4 linked regions of the Schizosaccharomyces pombe genome follow. The gene in region 3 interacts genetically with the main gene of each other region. Each region holds a gene or a part of one and is shown on either strand. Other genes may lie near its edges.

Region 1 (3,160 bases), on a different chromosome or scaffold from region 3:
TGATGCCAAAACAACAGACGACATTGAACGAATCGTATTTGGATAGTCTTTCCCATCCATCAAAACAAAAAGTTGATCGCACAGAGGCTGTTCAAGTACATCCTGACCAAATTTTATATCATGAGCCAAATCACGCATTGTTTCTAAAGACGACAACACAATGCTTGGGTCTGAAGTATCAGGATTTAAAATTACAGAAGATGACTGATCGAACAACTGTCTATCGTAAAGTGAAACAGATGAATCTGAGCTTACAGTCCTCACATTCAAAAAAAGGTAACATATTGCAAGAAATAGATTCGACAAAGAGAATGTTAAAGTAAAAAAAATTCTGTAAATTTGAGTATTTCTTTTCTTTTTAGACGAGTTTCCCAGAATCGAAAACATTGAACCGATTAATCTCCAATTTTTTCACTCCTGTTAGAGAGTGGTTTATGGTAGGATAGATTTCAAGAAAAAAAAATCCATAGCATGATTAGGCAATTGCCGCTGGTAAATGGAAAACGTAGCAATAAAATTCATGTTAAAAAATAAGAATACGATACGGACGTTGTGGCAGGCATGGAAGCCTTCTAACGAAAATGTAGTAATTGAGTATTTCGCTTTTTGGCAACAACTCAAATTGAGAATTGATTAAAAAAATTGAGCTCAATCAGTTTTCAATTTGAGACAAGTACTTTGAAATTTCCGCCTCAAAAGTTGCACTTGATATTTGGCCATCTTCTTCAAAAATGTGAGCAACAGGAACCGACCATTCAAGTTGAACAGCATTTCTGTTTTTGAGTACGGTAAATTTAGTAGTGATTAGAGGCTTATTTTTCAAAGGTAAAAAGGTATCCGCAGAAATTTTGATGTGTCTTTCTTTTTTCGTAGCAACATAAACAGTACTACCCTTGACTACAGAAGACCAAAATGTGAGCAAGCAGGAAGCTAGGAAATATAAAGGTAAAAGATACTTTAAGTAAGATTTTAAAACACCAAAACCATAAACATACTCAATGCCAAATGCGAGGCCGGCGGGTATAATGCAAGCTATTGCGATCAGCAAACGAATATCTTCAAATACAAAGGATTGCTTATAACCATTTTTGTTAAAATGGTTTGTTAATTCTTTATCAAATTTAGATTTGAAATCTGAAACGTTATATTTTGGCATTTTTACTATTAGCTTAATTATGGTAGAGGAAGCAAGGCTGTAGTTACTGATGATCAGATATGCGGTTTCGTTGATACGATGGCATGATGATTTTTTAAAATTAAGTAACCTAAAAGATGTTTTAATATTTAATATAAATGCCTGAGAGCAAAAACATGAACTCCGCTACTGGAACGAAAGCAAAACAGTCGATTACTAAGTACTTTATAATACTATCATGCTCTTTCAAATACAACGAGCCATAAATTTGAAATAATAGCCAAATAAAAAATATATATGGATTCTCAATAGAAATTGGCGGAAGGGTTTCATAACAAATTAATTTGGTACAAAATATCATGCTCATTTCCTTGTCTCGATAATAATATCAGAATTGCAATCGCAATGACTGTTGAAAAGGATTATGAAATGGAAAATGTTGTTTGAATGTAGCAGTACTTGGCGTTTAGTAAAAAAATAGAGGAGTACAATATTGATATTTCCTTTCGCAAAACCTGTTTGTTCCAATAGTGATATCCCTCGATGAACATATTCCTCGCTTTTATTTATTCAATTTTCACTCGCTAATTGTAAGTTATTATGCAAATGAAGATAAGGAACCCGGTACAAACCGTTTAACAAGCAATTGCTATTTTCTATAGGAAAAGCTAGATTGCAAAAACTACAAAGCATATTGATTTCGTTTGATACAAATGTTTTTTAGGCAAGACAGAGCCACTTGCGAGGGCTCCAATCCTAAATCCAATTTCTGAAATTCGCCTTTTTTACAAATAAAATGTATGAACGAATTTGAAAATGGAACTTTTCTCTCTATCCACGAGTAATGATTAATTAACCATTCAATAAACTTTTAACCTTAATTCATTGTAATTACTCTTTCTTTACTCTTCACATTGGTTTTGCTATTTTGTCTACATGAACGAGTCGTACCGCTGTACGCAAAAATCCTACACTAGGATCAAGACATACAATTTCTACTAAAGCCAAGACAGGTTGCGAAATCAATCAACTTGCAAATATGCAAGCTAATGGGTTTTCGTTTGGCTTTTACGATGAACCAAACAATTTAAACGGCCAAGATGTCGGTGCGGATTCGTTACCGAGCGTTGCTATAGAATCGGATTCTCTGGGACATATGTTGAAGTATATTCCAGAAAAGTTATCATACGCTCGTGTTTCTGGGTTAGGACATACGTTTGTACAAAGGGAATTATGGGATGTGAAAATGCAATTGATGGAACAAGATGATTCCATAGAAAGCGACGATAAACTCAAAGTTTTAGATGGTTGTAATGATCTTGTTCCTAACGTTTACGAGGGTGGTTACAAAACTTGGGAATGTAGCCTGGACCTTGCTAATGAAATCAAGAAGATAGATGTTGTAAAAAACAACTTGACGACGGTCTTGGAGTTGGGTTGTGGAAGTGCAATTCCTATTTTGAGCTGTTTTCAGGAATTTTACAAGCATCGTATCCCTTGTACTTTGGTTTTCCAAGATTTCAATGTTGATGTTCTTCGTTACGTTACTTTACCTAACCTTTTGCTAAACTGGTACTTTTGTACTCAAGAACATGATTCTTCAGAAAAGCATGGTACCATCGATGTATCCCCTAGTTTACTACAAGAATTTAGTGATGATCTTGCTCGTACCAATATCTATTGTGAATTCTTGTGCGGTTGTTGGAGCGAAGAGATGCAATTGTTAATCCAACGTACCTACGGAGATCACTACTTTTCTCTTGTTTTAGCTTCTGAAACCATTTATTCCCTTCCGTCACTCGAAAACTTTCTTTACATGCTTCTCAAAAATACCAAAAATCTCGCATTAGTTGCTGGTAAGGATTTGTATTTTGGAGTCGGGGGTAGTATCTTGGAATTTAATTCGAGACTGCAGAAACTTGTTGATGACCCTAATTCTCTTAAAGCAATTAAGACATCTACTCAAAATGTCGGGAGATCCATTGTGTATTGGGAAAAGGAGTTTCCTCCTTCTAATATTGATTC
Region 2 (4,201 bases), on a different chromosome or scaffold from region 3:
GCTTTGGTCCCATAATAGCGCAGAGGGAGAAAATATTACAACTGAAAGTTTCTTTTCTGTGCATTTGGCTATTACATCTAGTACAGTTGCACGTCTCACATCGCCTTCGCGCAAGTTTCTATTTGACCAGATTAAGGGGTGCGACATTGACTGTATAATTATAACTATTCCATTTTCATTAGTTTGCCAATTTCGTGTTGCATATATCCAACTATGTGGTTCTGACGGTGAAGATTCCAATGGTATAGATATTCGTGTTAGAAGGGAATTTTGTAAAGTCCAACTGTAAACGTGATCTAATTTCAATTGCAAGTTAACTCCTGAATTAAATGATTACCCTACCAAGTACAGCAAAATAGAATTTTTCGTTGTACTCTTTATCTTTGGTAACTTGAAATTCATATAGCTCATTTGGCGCGTTCAACTTCCTCAAGTAAAAATCGTTGGTAATTTGGAGATTCATGTCTTCAAGACAATTCCCAAAGTTGACGTCCCTTTGGAGTACACGGGATTTCTTTTTCCTAAACATATGTAAGGCCTACTTACCAATAATAAATTACGATAAGTCGGTTAGTAGTAGGTGACATTACAAAATAATTGAATGGTGACTCAATTTTTGTTGTTAAAAAATATATATATGAATTTGTAGATCAATACTACATAGTTTATTCTATATATTTAATAAAAAAAAGGAGGAAAGCATTGTAAGTTCATATGGTTTTAGGTCTTCAAATTTCAACGTATAAACCACTTCAATTTTTTGATAATTAAATCATCTTATTTCTAATATATCTATTTGTATAGGTGTAAACACCGAGAAGTTTCTTCATAGTGTATCCCTAACCTTCTTCGTCACGATAATAATTTAACCCATTTACTAAGAATGTATGCTGAAAACCTTCTCACAATGACCAACTAAAACAAAGAGAAACTCTTGAATTGTCTACTTAAAAATGCCGTATTTTTTCATATGGTGCACTTCGATAACAAAAAAGCAGTTTACAACATTGCACAAAAGGATTGTTTCACTGATCAGCCGTCTCCTTCTTTTTAAGCTCCGCCATATATTGTGCGAATTTACTTTGAGGATGACTGTGTAATCCACATTCTGTTTTCTCTCGACCGCGCCAACGTCCGGCACGTTCATCTTCACCTTCTCTAACTGGTTGAGTAGAGTGCCAGTCACCAACTGATCTGTAACCCTTGTTCAGAAGTTCATTATATGGAACGTTGTTTGTAATAATATAATTATGAACTTCAGTAAAAGACCAGTTAGCCAAGGGGTTGATCTTTAATACTGGTCCATCCAGCTGAACAATGGGCAAAGATCCGCGCTCTCCACCTTGACTACGGCGGCGGCCAGTAAACACAGCAAGTACATTTAAGTCAGAATAAGCACGACTTGCTGGTTCCACTTTGACTAAAAAGTCATACCGAGATTCATCTGTCTCCCAAAGCTTCTCACCAAACTTCTGAGCAAATTCCTTTTCGTTGGCTGCTTCAGCACAACGATAGACGTGAACAGGCACGTTAGGATACTTAGTTTTGACTTTTTCAAGAAGATCCAGTGTTTCTGGGAAATGATGAAGTGTGTTGATAAAAATCAGAGGAACATTCATATCCATTTTCGATAACATGTCCATAATAACAAGCCCGGACAGTCCTAACGCAGATGTTTGAAACAAAGAAGGAAGTGTCCAACGGCACCATTTTAAGATATCTTGAGGACTAAGCTCCGATAACTGCTTGTTGATGTATTCGAGATGTTCTGGGTGAAACAAGGTTTTCGCTTGCAATTTATTAGCAGGCGTATCGATTGAGCTCATATTGAGTACAATAAATTAGAAAAACCAAAATTTGGGACGAAATCAATTATGTCGGCGAGGAACCAATGGTTTAAACCGAAGATAAAAAGTCGAAAACTTTTCAAAAAAACCAAAAAAAAAATTTGAGTCGTGTACGCAGAAAAATTTTACTTACACTTACTTTTATAGTTTTATAGAAGCTATTGGTGTGCTCTGTAAGACTTTTAGAGAATAGTCAGACAGGTTTGGAAAATAATTATTACGGAAGATCTGCATCGATGCTTACAAAGGAAGAGGTAACAAGACGATACCTATTTTAGTTGGTAATAGTAAATTGTAGAAAAAAAGAATAAGATCATTAGCATTTAAGTATAGTTAGTGAATTGTATACTAGAATAAATGAATATTATTAAATGTATCAAATACGAGATGAAAGAGAGAGATTTTGCGCATTTTAATGTTACTACACCGTTTTTTTATTTTTGGTTTTAAATTTATAACTCTAATGAACTAAAAATTTCTCTTTAATTATTTCAATAACGTTAGTCAAAGGTTGATGCACAAATCTTTTATAACGTTTTGTATATTATAGTTAATATTAAAGGTGTGTAATAAGGAGACGAAAAAAATTTTTTATGGTATAAACCTTCGTAAATCCAATATGCAAAAAAAGGGCACTTTGTTTTAAGCAATTAATTTACAACTCCAAGAACCAGAATAAATATCCGACAAAAAGGGAATGATAAGAAAAAGTCTTAGCCTAATAAACCCACCAAACTCATAAACAAATACTAAAAGACAATGTATAAGATACATAAAAATGAAGGACCAGTGAACATTCCAATCCAGAAAAACACATTACCAAGGATATCGCGTTTTTTGAAAGCAAACATTTGTTGGAGGTCATAAAGAGGAATTTGTAATAATTGAAATGTTAATATGTAACACCGGAATTTACCAGTTGCGAGCAGCATCACAAATTCGTGTACAAGAGCGGAAATTAAAAAAGTGAGTAGAACAGCGTGAGATTTTTTTAATTTGAAACCGGAAATTGATGAATGGTAAACATGTCTCATGAGAAAAACGTGGACAGGCTTATTCCATTCGCGCGAAAATTCATCCCATGTAACTGTATTCCACCAAGCACCATAAAATCCACGGTCGGCAAATTTAGTGATTTCAGCAAATGCATTAAGAATGCAATCAAAAATCAGGTAAAACATGATAAGGTAAAGTATGATAGCGGGAAACATAATTTTGTTCATTAACAAGGGAGCAATGCGTAGCTTCCCTATGAAGTCAAGATCTTTGACAGCCACAGCACTTGGAACGAAATACCAATCTACAAGAGCCAAGGTGAGAGCTAGTAAACCGAATGTGGAGCCTGCTTTAAATGCCATATAATGCCAACGGAAATGGGCAACTCTAGGAAACTCCATACTATAGACAAGGGATGGAACTAATAAATAATCAACGTAATTAAAGAAATTGATGTTATCAGGATAAACAACATTGCCCACTTCGCTACGCATCTGGCGTGACAAATATTTTGCTGTTAAAGCGACAATTTCTTCTGCCTGCAATGTAGATATCGTTTCAGCAGGCTTATTGGGAAAAGTCAGTTCAAACGTGTATTTCTCATCTTTCTCGGTGGAATTCAGGCATTCACGAACAAACTTTAAAAGTTTTTCGTATTCATTATGCAATATACGAATCTCACTGATATAGCCCATATGGTGAGAATAAGAAAATTGTTTCATAATTAGAACGGCACAATGCAGCGTGAAGAAAACACATTGAACAATTGGAAAATCTCGATGCTTAACCCAATAGACAGCTAACACCATATAAAAGCCCTGCCACAAAGTTTGGATTGTGTAACCCAAATTAGCCCATCTAATCATGTTCTTCTCAATACACACTTGTAAACCATAACTAAAAAAGCTGAGGCAAATCATAAGGAAATCTGAGCTAAACAACACGAAAAACTGGCGAAAGACCTGTCTAGCTAGTGGTAAACCAAGCAAAGTATCGCGTTGCCAATAACTTCTTGCATATAACTGTAGTACCCATGCAGCCATTGAAAGCCAAAAAAGCACATAAAACCCTCTAAACTCACTTTTTGCGAAATAATTAGGATCGGTTACACGATCAAAAATCGATTTACGAGGCTTAAACTTATAATCATGGTAAACTTTTCCTGCAATTAATAATTGTTTATGACGATCCAGAGGAAATTCAACAACGTTTGCGTTATTTTTATCACCCTTGGATTTGACAACGAGTCGGCATTCGGGAAGAGCCTTCAATAGACTCATACTGGGATGAACATTTGGTTTGTTAATCGTTGTGCTTATATCGCTAAGCGGAGATGGAGTAATCAATATCCTAGGAGT
Region 3 (6,456 bases):
CTCCGGAAAAGCTTCCTAAAGATGTAATTATACCTGAAGAAGAGTATCATACTGACACATTTAATGTTGTAAAAGAAAGCAATGATAAACCTAAGGAGAATTTAGTTACAAGCGAAGAATGCAAAGCTTCTTTTTTCTCAACTGATAGCGTGAACAAAGATTCCACAATTGATTACGATGCTTTACAGAAAGATCCTTTGACTTACGTGAAAAGTTGTCGAGCCCGATTTGTTTCAAAAGATACAAAAAGCTTCAGTTACTCATCACTTGCTAACACCTTTTCCTTAATTAGTTCTACCAAATCCAGGATACGCATTGTCACATTATTAACCAATTTCCTTCTCACACTTCTGTATGCAGATCCTGATTCCTTAATTGCAACAGTTTGGTTATGTACCAATTCTATTGCCCCCAACTTTTATGGAAAAAACCTTGGTGTCGGACCTGCAATGTACTCTAAAGCTTTGAAAGAAGTTTGTGGCATTACAGCAAGTGCTTTGAAAAATTTATGGAACAAATATGGCGATCCAGGAGATGTAGCGTTCGAAGCTAAAGTGTCTGTGCGCACGTTAAGCAGACCAGAACCTTTGACTATTAAGAAGGTTTATTCTACTTTACTAAAGATTGCTGACAGTAACGGTAATGGTGCCCAGAACCGTAAATTAGAGTTAACTAAATTTTTATTGATAAGTTCTAATGCTGAGGAGGTTCGATATATAGGGAGGAGTATAATGCAAAATCTAAGAATAGGGGCTGTTCAAAACACCATGTTAGCTTCACTAAGCAAAGCTTTTTTTATTTTTGACAATCAAAACGAAATATTTAATTTTAATTCTGACTCACTTCAACAACAATTTCGTCAAGGAGAAGAGATTGTTAAACAAAGTTTCTTTCAGGTCCCTGATTATAACATTTTGGTTGCAACCCTTCTTCGAGAGGGGATAGAAAACTTAAAAGACAATATGTCTATTCGCCCTGGAATCCCAGTAAAACCTATGCTTGGTTCTATCACAAAGAATTTGCAGCATATGTTAGAAAGATTGACTGATCATAACTTCTCTTGTGAGTTCAAGTACGATGGACAAAGAGCACAAATTCATTGCGATAGACTTGGAAACATTAAGATATTTAGCCGCCATTTGGAGGAAATTACAGGAAGATTTCCGGATGTCATTGAAGTTGCTCAATTAGCATTGAAACATTCATGTGATTTTATTATAGAAGGCGAATTGGTGGCTATTGACAAAAGTAATGGTCAGATACTGGATTTTCAAAAACTTTCAACTAGAGAAAGAAAAAAAGTTACAGTGGCTGATATTACAATAGACGTGTGTGTTTTTGTTTTTGATATTATGTTTTGTGATGGGAAATCTTGCTTACAAATGCCTTTAATTGAAAGAAGAAGAATGTTTTTTGAGCATTTTAATTTAATTCCAAATCGCTTTCAGTTCGTGTCTTCTTTGGAAACAAATGAGGAGCAATCCATTCAAGAATTTTTTAGTCTTGCAATTACTAATAAATGCGAAGGATTAATGGTGAAGGTACTGAATGGAACAAACTCAAAGTTTCCTTCAACGTATGAACCTGATAAAAGAGGTGAGGGATGGATTAAAGTCAAACAGGATTATGATGATGAATTTGAGTCATTGGATCTTGTTCCCATAGGCGCTTGGTACGGTAATGGAAGAAAAGCCGGATGGTTCAGTCCAATTTTGCTTGCTGTTTACAATCCAGACACTGGCGCGTATGAAGCAGTCTGTAAATGCATGTCCGGTTTTAGTGACCAATTTTATAAGGAATTAACACAAAAGTATTCCTTAGAATCTGGCAATAGCAGTCTTAAACCCATATATAATTTTTGCGAAACAGGTAAGGTAACTCCACAAATATACTTTGCCCCTCAAGAAGTTTGGGAAATTAAGGGTGCTCAAATAACATCCTCACCTGCATACAAGGCGGCTTTGGGATTAATTCAGGATGATCGCGGTTTATCAATTCGATTCCCACGCTTCATTAGAGTTCGGTCAGACAAAGGACCAGAGGACGCATCCACGAATTCAATATTGGCTGACATGTATATGAAACAACTTAATACTTGATGTTCGTGATGAACTCAAAATGTCAAGGAACATCGTTGATTGTATATTAAATAAATATTATTAAAGGTATGGCAACAAATATATCAATCATCAGTCCTCAAAATCCGATATTGAACCAATATACGCATGCCAAAGATATGTATAGGCTATCGGACAAATAGATGGCTTCTTCTTTTTAGAAATTCTAAAAGTGTTTTGATCGCCACTCTGTAATTTGAATTGATGAGGATCTTCTGGTTTGTCACAAGTTGCTATTCTTTTTGCTAGACGCATATACTCTGGCACAGTTAAATCAGGCATATTATATGGAGAGTCCTTCGAAGTATATAGCAATTCATAAGAAATTTCGGTATCTTTCGTTGCATCCATGTAATTTGACGTGTTTAAGAAATACTGCTTAAATGAAATAGGAGTAAAAAGTGACGGAACGTATGCCGGTCCCAAAGGACCGGGCTTAATATTCTTCCTCTTGTTCTTCTTCTTTTTTTTATTATTCTTCTTTTTTTTCTTCTTTTTCTTGTCTATCTCATAATCTGATTGAGACTGCTCTTCAAGCGTTTCCCAGTTAAAAGAAGTGATTTCAGTTAGCTCTTCCCGATCATCCAGCTGATTAGCAATATCAGAAATATTGTACTCGTAAACGCGAAAAGTTGGAAACATTTCAGGTATAATCGAACCACCAACGGTAGCCAAGGAGTAATTCCCGACGGTTCCATTAAGAAACTCCTCTGTTAAATTCTCGGGAAATGTAGGAAGCTCCGCGTATTGGGCATCAATTAAAGATTTTACATATTTTGGTTGCGCACTTTTGATTCCATAAGATTCTGTATCAACAGGTAACTTATCGAATTCCAAAAACACAAAATGGTTTATGTTCATATGACCATAGAGTTGTCCAACTATAATATCTCGAAACTCATAAAGCAAATCCGTAAAAGAAGTATAACAATCTTCATACCACTGGCCCCTTGTAGGGGGAATATGTCCTAGAAGCCAAACTTTCATTCCCTTTAGCCGATACGCTTCAAGCTGTATTTTGAACCATCGCATAAAAAGAGAACCAGGTTCGTCTAGATTATCATCAGGACAACCATCGACCGCGGCATTTTTGTTTGATAGGTAAAGAGTGTTAATGGAAATTGCTGCTAGCTTGTCCGGAATCACATCACATAGGTAATAAGAGCCCTTTTCAAAAGTGTGTCGTTCCTCATAAGGAATTAAAGCATCCCAAGCACCAGCTAGTTGTCGAGTCATTGAAGATGGACCAGCTTCCATAATGTTATGAGGATATATATCATTATTCCCGATAGCGGAAACAATTGGAACGTCAGGAAACGCCTCTATCATTTTATTAACCAAGTCCTCATTTGAAGCAAGAATTTCACTTTGTGTTCTTGGAAAATGGTTATCATTGTCATGCCTAGAATTATCACCAGTCCACAGTATGAAGTCAATGCCTCCCAGAACATCATCTTGATGTTCCTTAAGCCATTCCAATGTCTTATCAATTAATGCTGGTGAAGAATCACATTCATAACCAGGACCAGGAGAGAGGTAACCCACTTTGCTTTTACCCAAGGGAGTATCGTCAGAATTATGATCATAGGAATGACAATAATGATCGACGGTGGATCCTTTTTCGTAATAAATGTCAGGATGCATATCGGTGATATGCAAAAATCTACCAACAAGTGGTTTTCCTTTGCTATTAACTAAATCATTTGTATGCGCTTTATTTCGCATACTCATAGGGTTGCCAAATGCAAAAGAAGCCCATGTCGACTGTACAAAAAGAACAGCAACCGTGATTACAGAGGGACGCATTCTAAAAAGAAGGAAATCGGTATATAAAAGAAAAAAAAACTTTACCTAAGTAGAAAAAAAGAGGACACTTCAGACTAGGACGAAATTTTCCAAAATCTGTAATACAATTTCCCAGGCAATTTCAAAAACAAAAAATGGTGTTTGAAAGATTCAAGGGCTTTTGAACTCAGTACAACTTAAATAAATCAAAATTTCCCAGTAGCCGTTAATGAAATAAGTATTGTTAATCTGTTTGACAAAAAGATCGATCTAAATTAAGATCACGAGCGGGTAGTCATGAACCGAAGTCCTGCAGAGTCAATAGAAGTTGCTTCTGAGCTTTGCAAACCCCAGAGAACACTTAATTTGGGTTTGGACTATTCGATGCTCGTAATGGAAGCAGTTAAAAGATCCGTGATACTCTTCCCTAGTGAAGACGAATGTTGTGTTCACCGCTATATATGTATGATGAAAGATGTCGCATTTTATATTTTGTCAGAGCTTGCATTACGGTATTAGTTACTAACTTAATTTCGTTAAATGAATAAGGAGGAAAGTGTTTTGCTCATTAACCATTGTCCTGACGCCTTAAAGCGTTGACAGCATCTAAGAACGGGACACTCGTAATTTTGATTGGGAATAAAGTATCCTTCCACATATACTTGCCCCATCAACTCAGTTGATTCTTAATAATAGAATTTACGCCAAAAATATTATTCGTGCAATTGCTTTGAAAGTTGATATAAAAACTTCTCTAAAGGAGTTATTTGAAAATTGTGTTGATTACCGGTTGGTTCGTTTCGTTATAGTATTTGTTGGACAAGCAGGATGGAGAAAAATACAGTTACAGTTCCAAAAACCTTGTTTTCACAAGTTATTCATATTTTCAAGTATGCGGCAATTAATTTGGGCCTTCCTTTCTTGAATGGAGTTATGTTGGGATTCGGGGAGATCTTTGCTCATGCATTTATCCACTCTCTTGGTTGGGCTCCAGGTCATACTAGGATTTATTCTATTCAAAGACATCAGTATATTCAAGCCTAAAATGAAGCATAGCTGTGCGAGGAAATTTATCTTTAATATTTGAGGGAAATGGTGTTTGCTTATTCGTGATTTTTTTATTTTTTCATTTTAAGCTGAGGCGAGTATTCATAAAATTTGAGATACTCGAATGCTTAACTCATGTTTCTCTCAGATGTATTATGGTTTCAGCTTTGCACTCTCTTTAATGATCGTTTTCTTTAGTTTTATTGTTTTTATTTTCTTTTCCCACAATATTAAGAGCTTCTTTGGCACAATGCAAAGAATATATATGCTCAAGGGATGGAAAACGAATTAAGCCCAAATGAATTGTGTTTATATTTGCAAAATAACATTTAATTTCCTTTGCATTTAATTTATTTATGATCGTTTTCCTTGAGCTTCCTTCTTCTGTTTTTTAAGTATAATTACTTTTGATTTTATTTATGCCCTTTATATTAACATTATGTGACACGTTATACATCGCTTCTTCGGACCGACAAATTGATTTGAGTAGCATAGTATAGAAAAAGGTGTCAACGAAGATTTATATGAGCTGTGAGACAAGTATCGAAGCTATCATCATTGTTTAAAATTGTTCATTATTTTTACATTACTTTGATTTGAATGACAGTACTACGCTTTTTGTTGTTTTCCTCATCACATCGCTTTTTTAAATAATTGTTATTGTATTCGAACAACGATAGTGCTCTAACTTAATGACTAAAACACGCTTATTTGTAAAGGCGTGTAAGTATTACTATTCTCAGAGCAACAAATCTCAACTGATTATAAATTGATTGCACAGCCCATTGATTCATTAGAATTTTACAGGTTATTTCTGTCGTTGCTCAAGCTTTGAAAAATATACTTTTGAATGATTCTTAAAACTTACATTATCGCATGCTTGGTACACTCGGTTGGCTTTAATGATGTTATAAGACAATTTCAAGTTTGATGATACAAAAAAGGATTCTGATCCTCGAACTGAATCTTCTTGTTTATGCATAAAAAGCAGATACCGACTACTTAAAGTCAGCAAATCTGAAAAAATAAATTATCATTAAATTTTTGTCAAATTTACGAATACTGACTTCACAATTTGCTATATAAACTTGAAGATTTATTGCATTAGCCAACAAGAATACTATATTTCTATTTTCTTCCAAGATGTAGCATGGACAAACCTAAACAGTAGTCGTTCTATATTTTATAGCTATTTAAATAATTAACTATATTACCCATCGCACAGAATTACATAGCATATTATTTAAATCTTGGATATACGCTCTACAAGCATTGCTATACACTTTCAGTGGTTTTTAAAAACATGTATTAACAGGATTCCAAGCAAACTTTAGTACGCATCCAACACAAATAGGAAGTCTACGATCACACAAATTACAGCGATATAGAATTTCGCGAAAAGAATAAACCATTAACTCAAGTAATTTCAAAAGGTTCTTTGTTAACGAATCTGTTTTAAATGTAATAATAAATTTTAATCTATAGCAAATATGTGGACCTTCTGACA
Region 4 (4,836 bases), on a different chromosome or scaffold from region 3:
TGAAAGTACCTAAAGTATCAATCCACATAATTCTATCAAACCTAGAGTAATAACTTTTTAGAATCCAGTAAAGCATCAAGTTTGCAGAATTTCCACTAAATTGAGTAACCTGATTCATAATGTCAGAAAATATATAAGCTGCTTTAAGAATTTGCTTGGTATGCTTTAAACTTTCGATAGAATTGTTTTTTCCAACGATATTGATGATCAATGAAATTGATTTTTGCAATCATCCCCTGGTTATGCTAATGGCATTCTAAAAGAGATAAACACCCAAATGCGTTGAAGGAAAAGATACGTACAATCGTCAAAAATTTCCGGAATGTTCAACAAGTATTTAACTAATCATGAGTGTGTGTTGAATCTTATCTCATGTTTTTTGTTGAACTATCTACATGGATTATATTTAATTAGGGTATGGATTAAAGAAGCAGAAAGGTCGTCAACATTCGAGTACAGTATATAGCCACACTGGTGTGGATTTGTATATATTGAGAATAACCCTTTAAGAATAAAAAGAAAAAATAGAAAAGCATCAACTAACTGTTTTTAAATGCTACATATGCGAATTTAATTCTCTCTAATAATGCCATGTATTACAAGTAACCTCATGTATCGATTGATTTAATCATTATCGTTACAAAATTTTTATAAATTATATAATAAAAAAAAGGAATATTAACAATACATTATTTACCGAAGAACCCTATAAATTTGAACAGCACTGACAACTGTAAGAGGTAAACAACCATTTTTTCAAACGTTCAATGAGTGTGACACTCCAAAACAAATGAATCCCCAAATCCCAAATATGGGAGAGCTCTATACGATTGACTGCTGTTTTTTCCCCGAAAATTTCTTCAAGGTCAAAAATTAAATAGCACTAAATAGAAGAAAAAAACCCACCAAAGAAAATTATGAACTAATTTTGACCACACCTGTAATTCAATGTTTATGCAAAACCTTCATAAGAAAACCCAATACAACTTTTAAATTTTTGTTCCAATAGAGTTGCTTTTCAAAATGCTGCCTTTAAATAATAACAATTGTTTCATCAAATTTGCTCCTTCAAGACATAAGTGATTATTTTTATCGCACTAATCACTTGCATTTTTAGCTATAGTGTTTACCAAATATCCTTTGTACTACGGGACCTATCCATTAAATATAATTGTCCAACTTTACACGTAAGCATTGAAATCCGAAGGCAAGGATGCAGGAATCTGCATATTAGAGTAATGCGGAGCATTGCAACGGAGACAATTACTGCGGCGACGAAAATTAGTAAATCCACACTCACATAACCAATCGCCTTGATCAGTAGTAACGGAAGGACGTGATACTTCTTTAAAGCGTCCATGATCATCGAACCTAGATACATTACCACCATTTTGTCCCCCAAAATTTTGACCATGATTAGCCGTTACTGAATTTATAGAAAGTTGTGAGTAAGGATACACCGAATGATTAGGAGGACTTGTACTCATAACAGGGGGGATGTGAGAATATGAATTATGACTATACGAACCATTCACCGGCCCAGATGCATGATCTGCTACGACTGCAGCTGTAGCACGGCTAGCCCCACAGCGTAAGCAGCAAACATTTTTTGCGAAATTGTGATATCCACAACCCTCAGAGCCACATTTCCAATCACCAGCACGAAAAGGGACATTACCACCGAATGAGCGTGAAGAATGATGATGATTTACAGCATTATTGCCATTCTGATGCTGAAGATCACTTTGCATGGTATTTTCGTTAGAATGATGGACAGATCCACCATAGTTGGCAATAAAGTGAGAGGAGCCGTTGCCGTATGAATTTCCATAAGGGAAATCAGGTGAAAAAGTATTGCTACCAGTAGCAGCTGAAACATGAGTAGGACCAGGAAATGAGCATCGGAAACAAGACGTTCGACGTTGAAAATTGCTGAAACCGCACATTGGGCAATTCCAATCCCCAGGGCGTGGGCGATTCTTACTAGAAGGAAAAGGAATTAGAATGTCTGAAGCTTTATCTAAAACCTTTGTACTACTGGGAATAATTTCCAGCATCCGATCTCCTAAGCAATATCCATTAAAGGCAAGAGCATCGGCAGCATCTTCATGACTAGCAAATAGCACAAAACCTGTACCCGTAGATTTGTAAGGTTCGGGAGTCTTTAAAGTCCATAAAGCTACGGGATGAACCCCATGATTAGTAAACCAACTTTCCAACTCGAGCTGTGTTACATCGTTGGTCAAACCTGCAACGTGTACAATTTTTGACCGTTCTGCATAAAAGCTTCGTGCGTCTGCTTGACAGTTAATGGGTTGTGTAAGCACCGAAGGAAGAGAATGACCTCGAGAATCTTTCTCTGCTTTACGAAGCAATAAGGTGGTAGCATTTGCAAGGCGCCAGCATTGAGTAAGACCTTTGGTTATGTAAGGAGCATCTGAAGGTGATAATTCAATTGCTTTTGACTCTGTAATAGGTGGTAAAGAGTCGACATCTAATTTACCAAAAATATGAGAAAGCGTTATTGTGTATGGTGGTACTGCACCCATGCGAATCTGCCACTTGGCGTATTCGCTTGATAAATCAAACAAGCGAGGATGGCGCATGTAGGAAGGTAGCGTAATTCCCTGATCCCGTGCTTCTTTTGGCAATAATACACGAAGCTCTCTTCCATTCATAACAACAAATGTAAAAGGTTTTCCTTGGAAGTTTAATCGTTCTTGGATTGAATTATCCAATGTGAAGATAGCTTCAGTTAAGGAACTAGCAGAACCACAAATTCCATGACGAGAACTATCTTCACGAATACTACACGATTCACAGTGTTGTTTTTCCAAAGTTTTTCCATCTAATATAACCCAGCATATTTCATGAATTTCACATGGCGCCCGGCCAATGCTAATGCCGTGATCGTCAAGATTTGTTTCAAAGTGCAAAACAACCAAGTCGCCTACCGATTCTGGCAGAGGCATTGTTGGACTTGGTAGCTTTGACATGATATTGCAAAGCTACAAACCCGTTGGTGTTTTTCTTTGTCACTCACAAGTACAGTCACAAAAGTAACAAATCTAGATTTAGAATCCACCTAAGCGGAATTATTCAAAGGAGAAAAATCTTTTATGAACAATAATATGTACAACTGATGTTACTGTCGAATCGTGTATTGTTGTGGGATTCTTTTGCATGCAAAGCAGAAAATTTAGCAATACTTTCGAAACACAATGAAAATGAAAATTTTACGATAAATTATTATACCATAATTTAGCGCATCAAGCATTTGGTATTCTTATGTCAGCAATACTACACTACGTTGAGTATCACTATATGTCACATGTTCTAATTATATATCGTACCATGTATAATACGATATGGAGATTGATCTTAATGATAATCTATTAAGATCAATATTATCTGAATACTATAAATAGAGCTACTGCTGAACCTCGTTCCTCAGTTCAGTTATGAGCTATATTAGTGATAGTTAACATTATAACCCAGTTAATACAATACCTATACTCAGTTGCTACTTATACAACCTGTGTATTGTAATATAATAGATCACAAGGAAAACTCACCGCAGTTCTACGTATCCTTAAATCAGATACCAAACTGCGTAGCTTACATCTTATGAACAATACCGGGGTTTTTTGTAACCACGTAAACAATCAAAGAACTGTTGTTTATTTTGACAATTGTATCAGGAAGTCAAGGGAAAAGTTATACTGAAAAGCCATCCATTGAAAAGTATTTGTACATCTTGCTACATAAAAAAGCTGATAGTAATTTACTTACACAACTGATAATTTACTAAATTACCGTCATTTCAATTAGAGTTGGTGTAATGTAGCAAAACATAAATTTATCAGCAATAACTCTACAATCGATAAAATGCGACCAAGTTATAGCTTAAAATTGATACAACGAATTTTATACGGACAAATAAAGGGTTAAAATTTACGTTAAGGATTTATTAAATGCCTTCCGTACAACCTAAATGAAGACTAAGAGTAATATAACGCAACGTTAATCAGCTTAGCGATTCTAAATGTGCTCTTTATTATTTGATGTGAACTGCAATAGTAAAAATCTTTGTCACCGTTAGCCTAATCGTAGATTGTATTAATCAAAGTAGCACAAAGCAAATTTTTCAAAACCTTTGAAAAATATTCAAATTCAGCTTTGTGTAGAATACACACTAGACTACAACGATGGCAGGAATAGAATCAAAGCAAAGAAGAGCTCAGAAAAAGGCAGCTAAAGCTGCTATGAAGGAAAAGAAAAACAAGGAAAGCAATGAATCTTCTACTTCTGTTGAGGCATTAAATGAGAAAGAAATGATCAATACCATTAAATCTCCTATTATTGAAACAGCTGATACAGCTGATCAAGAGAACGAATCTGAGGGATCAGATGAAGTTGAACTTTCTGATCTTGAAGGAATTGAGTTGGAAGAAGACGCTGATTTGATTAGAAAAAGAAAATTAGCTATAAATAACACTGTTGCACTAGAGAACATCTATGAACGAATTAAATATCCTGATGATATTTCGTTTGTTGAAAACCAAGCTGTTACTACTAAGGAGCCTATAATAATTGAAAATGTTGAGGATGATCTTGCCCGTGAACTGGCCTTTTATAAACAAGGTGTGAGCTCTGTAAAGGCGGCTTTTGCCAAACTTCGTGAGGCGAATGTTCTAATTTCCCGACCTCATGACTATTTTGCGGAAATGTTAAAGTCCGATGACCACATGGAGAAAGTGCGTCAAGAGTTGATTAAAGAAGCAACCGCTAAAAAACTATCCCAGCAAGCTAAGAAACAACGAGAACTCAAGAAGT

The links.
Region 1: of SPOM_SPBC713.07C (region 3) and spc2, changing one suppresses a phenotype caused by changing the other (phenotypic suppression), as found in Schizosaccharomyces pombe (one study listed by BioGRID).
Region 2: of SPOM_SPBC713.07C (region 3) and met16, changing one suppresses a phenotype caused by changing the other (phenotypic suppression), as found in Schizosaccharomyces pombe (one study listed by BioGRID).
Region 4: of SPOM_SPBC713.07C (region 3) and dri1, changing one suppresses a phenotype caused by changing the other (phenotypic suppression), as found in Schizosaccharomyces pombe (one study listed by BioGRID).

The regions. Positions count from the first base shown.
Region 1 is NC_003424.3:3,862,349-3,865,508, forward strand, and holds spc2 (signal peptidase subunit Spc2), read right to left. Parts: upstream 1,157-3,160; coding exon 653-1,156; downstream 1-652. Other genes in the region: protein Sil1, read right to left, coding at 1-387; ribosome methytransferase Hpm1, read left to right, coding at 2,175-3,160. UniProt on the Schizosaccharomyces pombe protein: Component of the signal peptidase complex (SPC) which catalyzes the cleavage of N-terminal signal sequences from nascent proteins as they are translocated into the lumen of the endoplasmic reticulum.
Region 2 is NC_003424.3:2,305,354-2,309,554, reverse strand, and holds met16 (phosphoadenosine phosphosulfate reductase), read right to left. Parts: upstream 2,032-4,201; 5' UTR 1,827-2,031; coding exon 1,026-1,826; 3' UTR 677-1,025; downstream 1-676. Other genes in the region: arb2 (argonaute binding protein 2), read right to left, coding at 1-296, 343-529; acyl-coA-sterol acyltransferase Are1, read right to left, coding at 2,597-4,201. UniProt on the Schizosaccharomyces pombe protein: The NADP dependent reduction of PAPS into sulfite involves thioredoxin which probably plays the role of a thiol carrier. Required for methionine synthesis.
Region 3 is NC_003423.3:877,730-884,185, forward strand, and holds SPOM_SPBC713.07C (polyphosphatase), read right to left. Parts: upstream 4,360-6,456; 5' UTR 3,924-4,359; coding exon 2,190-3,923; 3' UTR 2,100-2,189; downstream 1-2,099. Other genes in the region: adl1 (DNA ligase), read left to right, coding at 1-2,099; MIM complex subunit Mim1, read left to right, coding at 4,731-4,946. UniProt on the Schizosaccharomyces pombe protein: Catalyzes the hydrolysis of inorganic polyphosphate (polyP) chains of many hundreds of phosphate residues into shorter lengths.
Region 4 is NC_003424.3:2,008,724-2,013,559, forward strand, and holds dri1 (RNA-binding protein involved in heterochromatin assembly Dri1), read right to left. Parts: upstream 2,983-4,836; 5' UTR 2,973-2,982; coding exon 1,182-2,972; 3' UTR 622-1,181; downstream 1-621. Other genes in the region: rdl1 (RAD51D-like protein 1), read right to left, coding at 1-118; rRNA processing protein Ebp2, read left to right, coding at 4,209-4,836. UniProt on the Schizosaccharomyces pombe protein: Mediates heterochromatin assembly by promoting RNAi-mediated heterochromatin silencing and histone deacetylation. Binds pericetromeric transcripts and recruits the RNA-induced transcriptional silencing (RITS) complex to heterochromatin.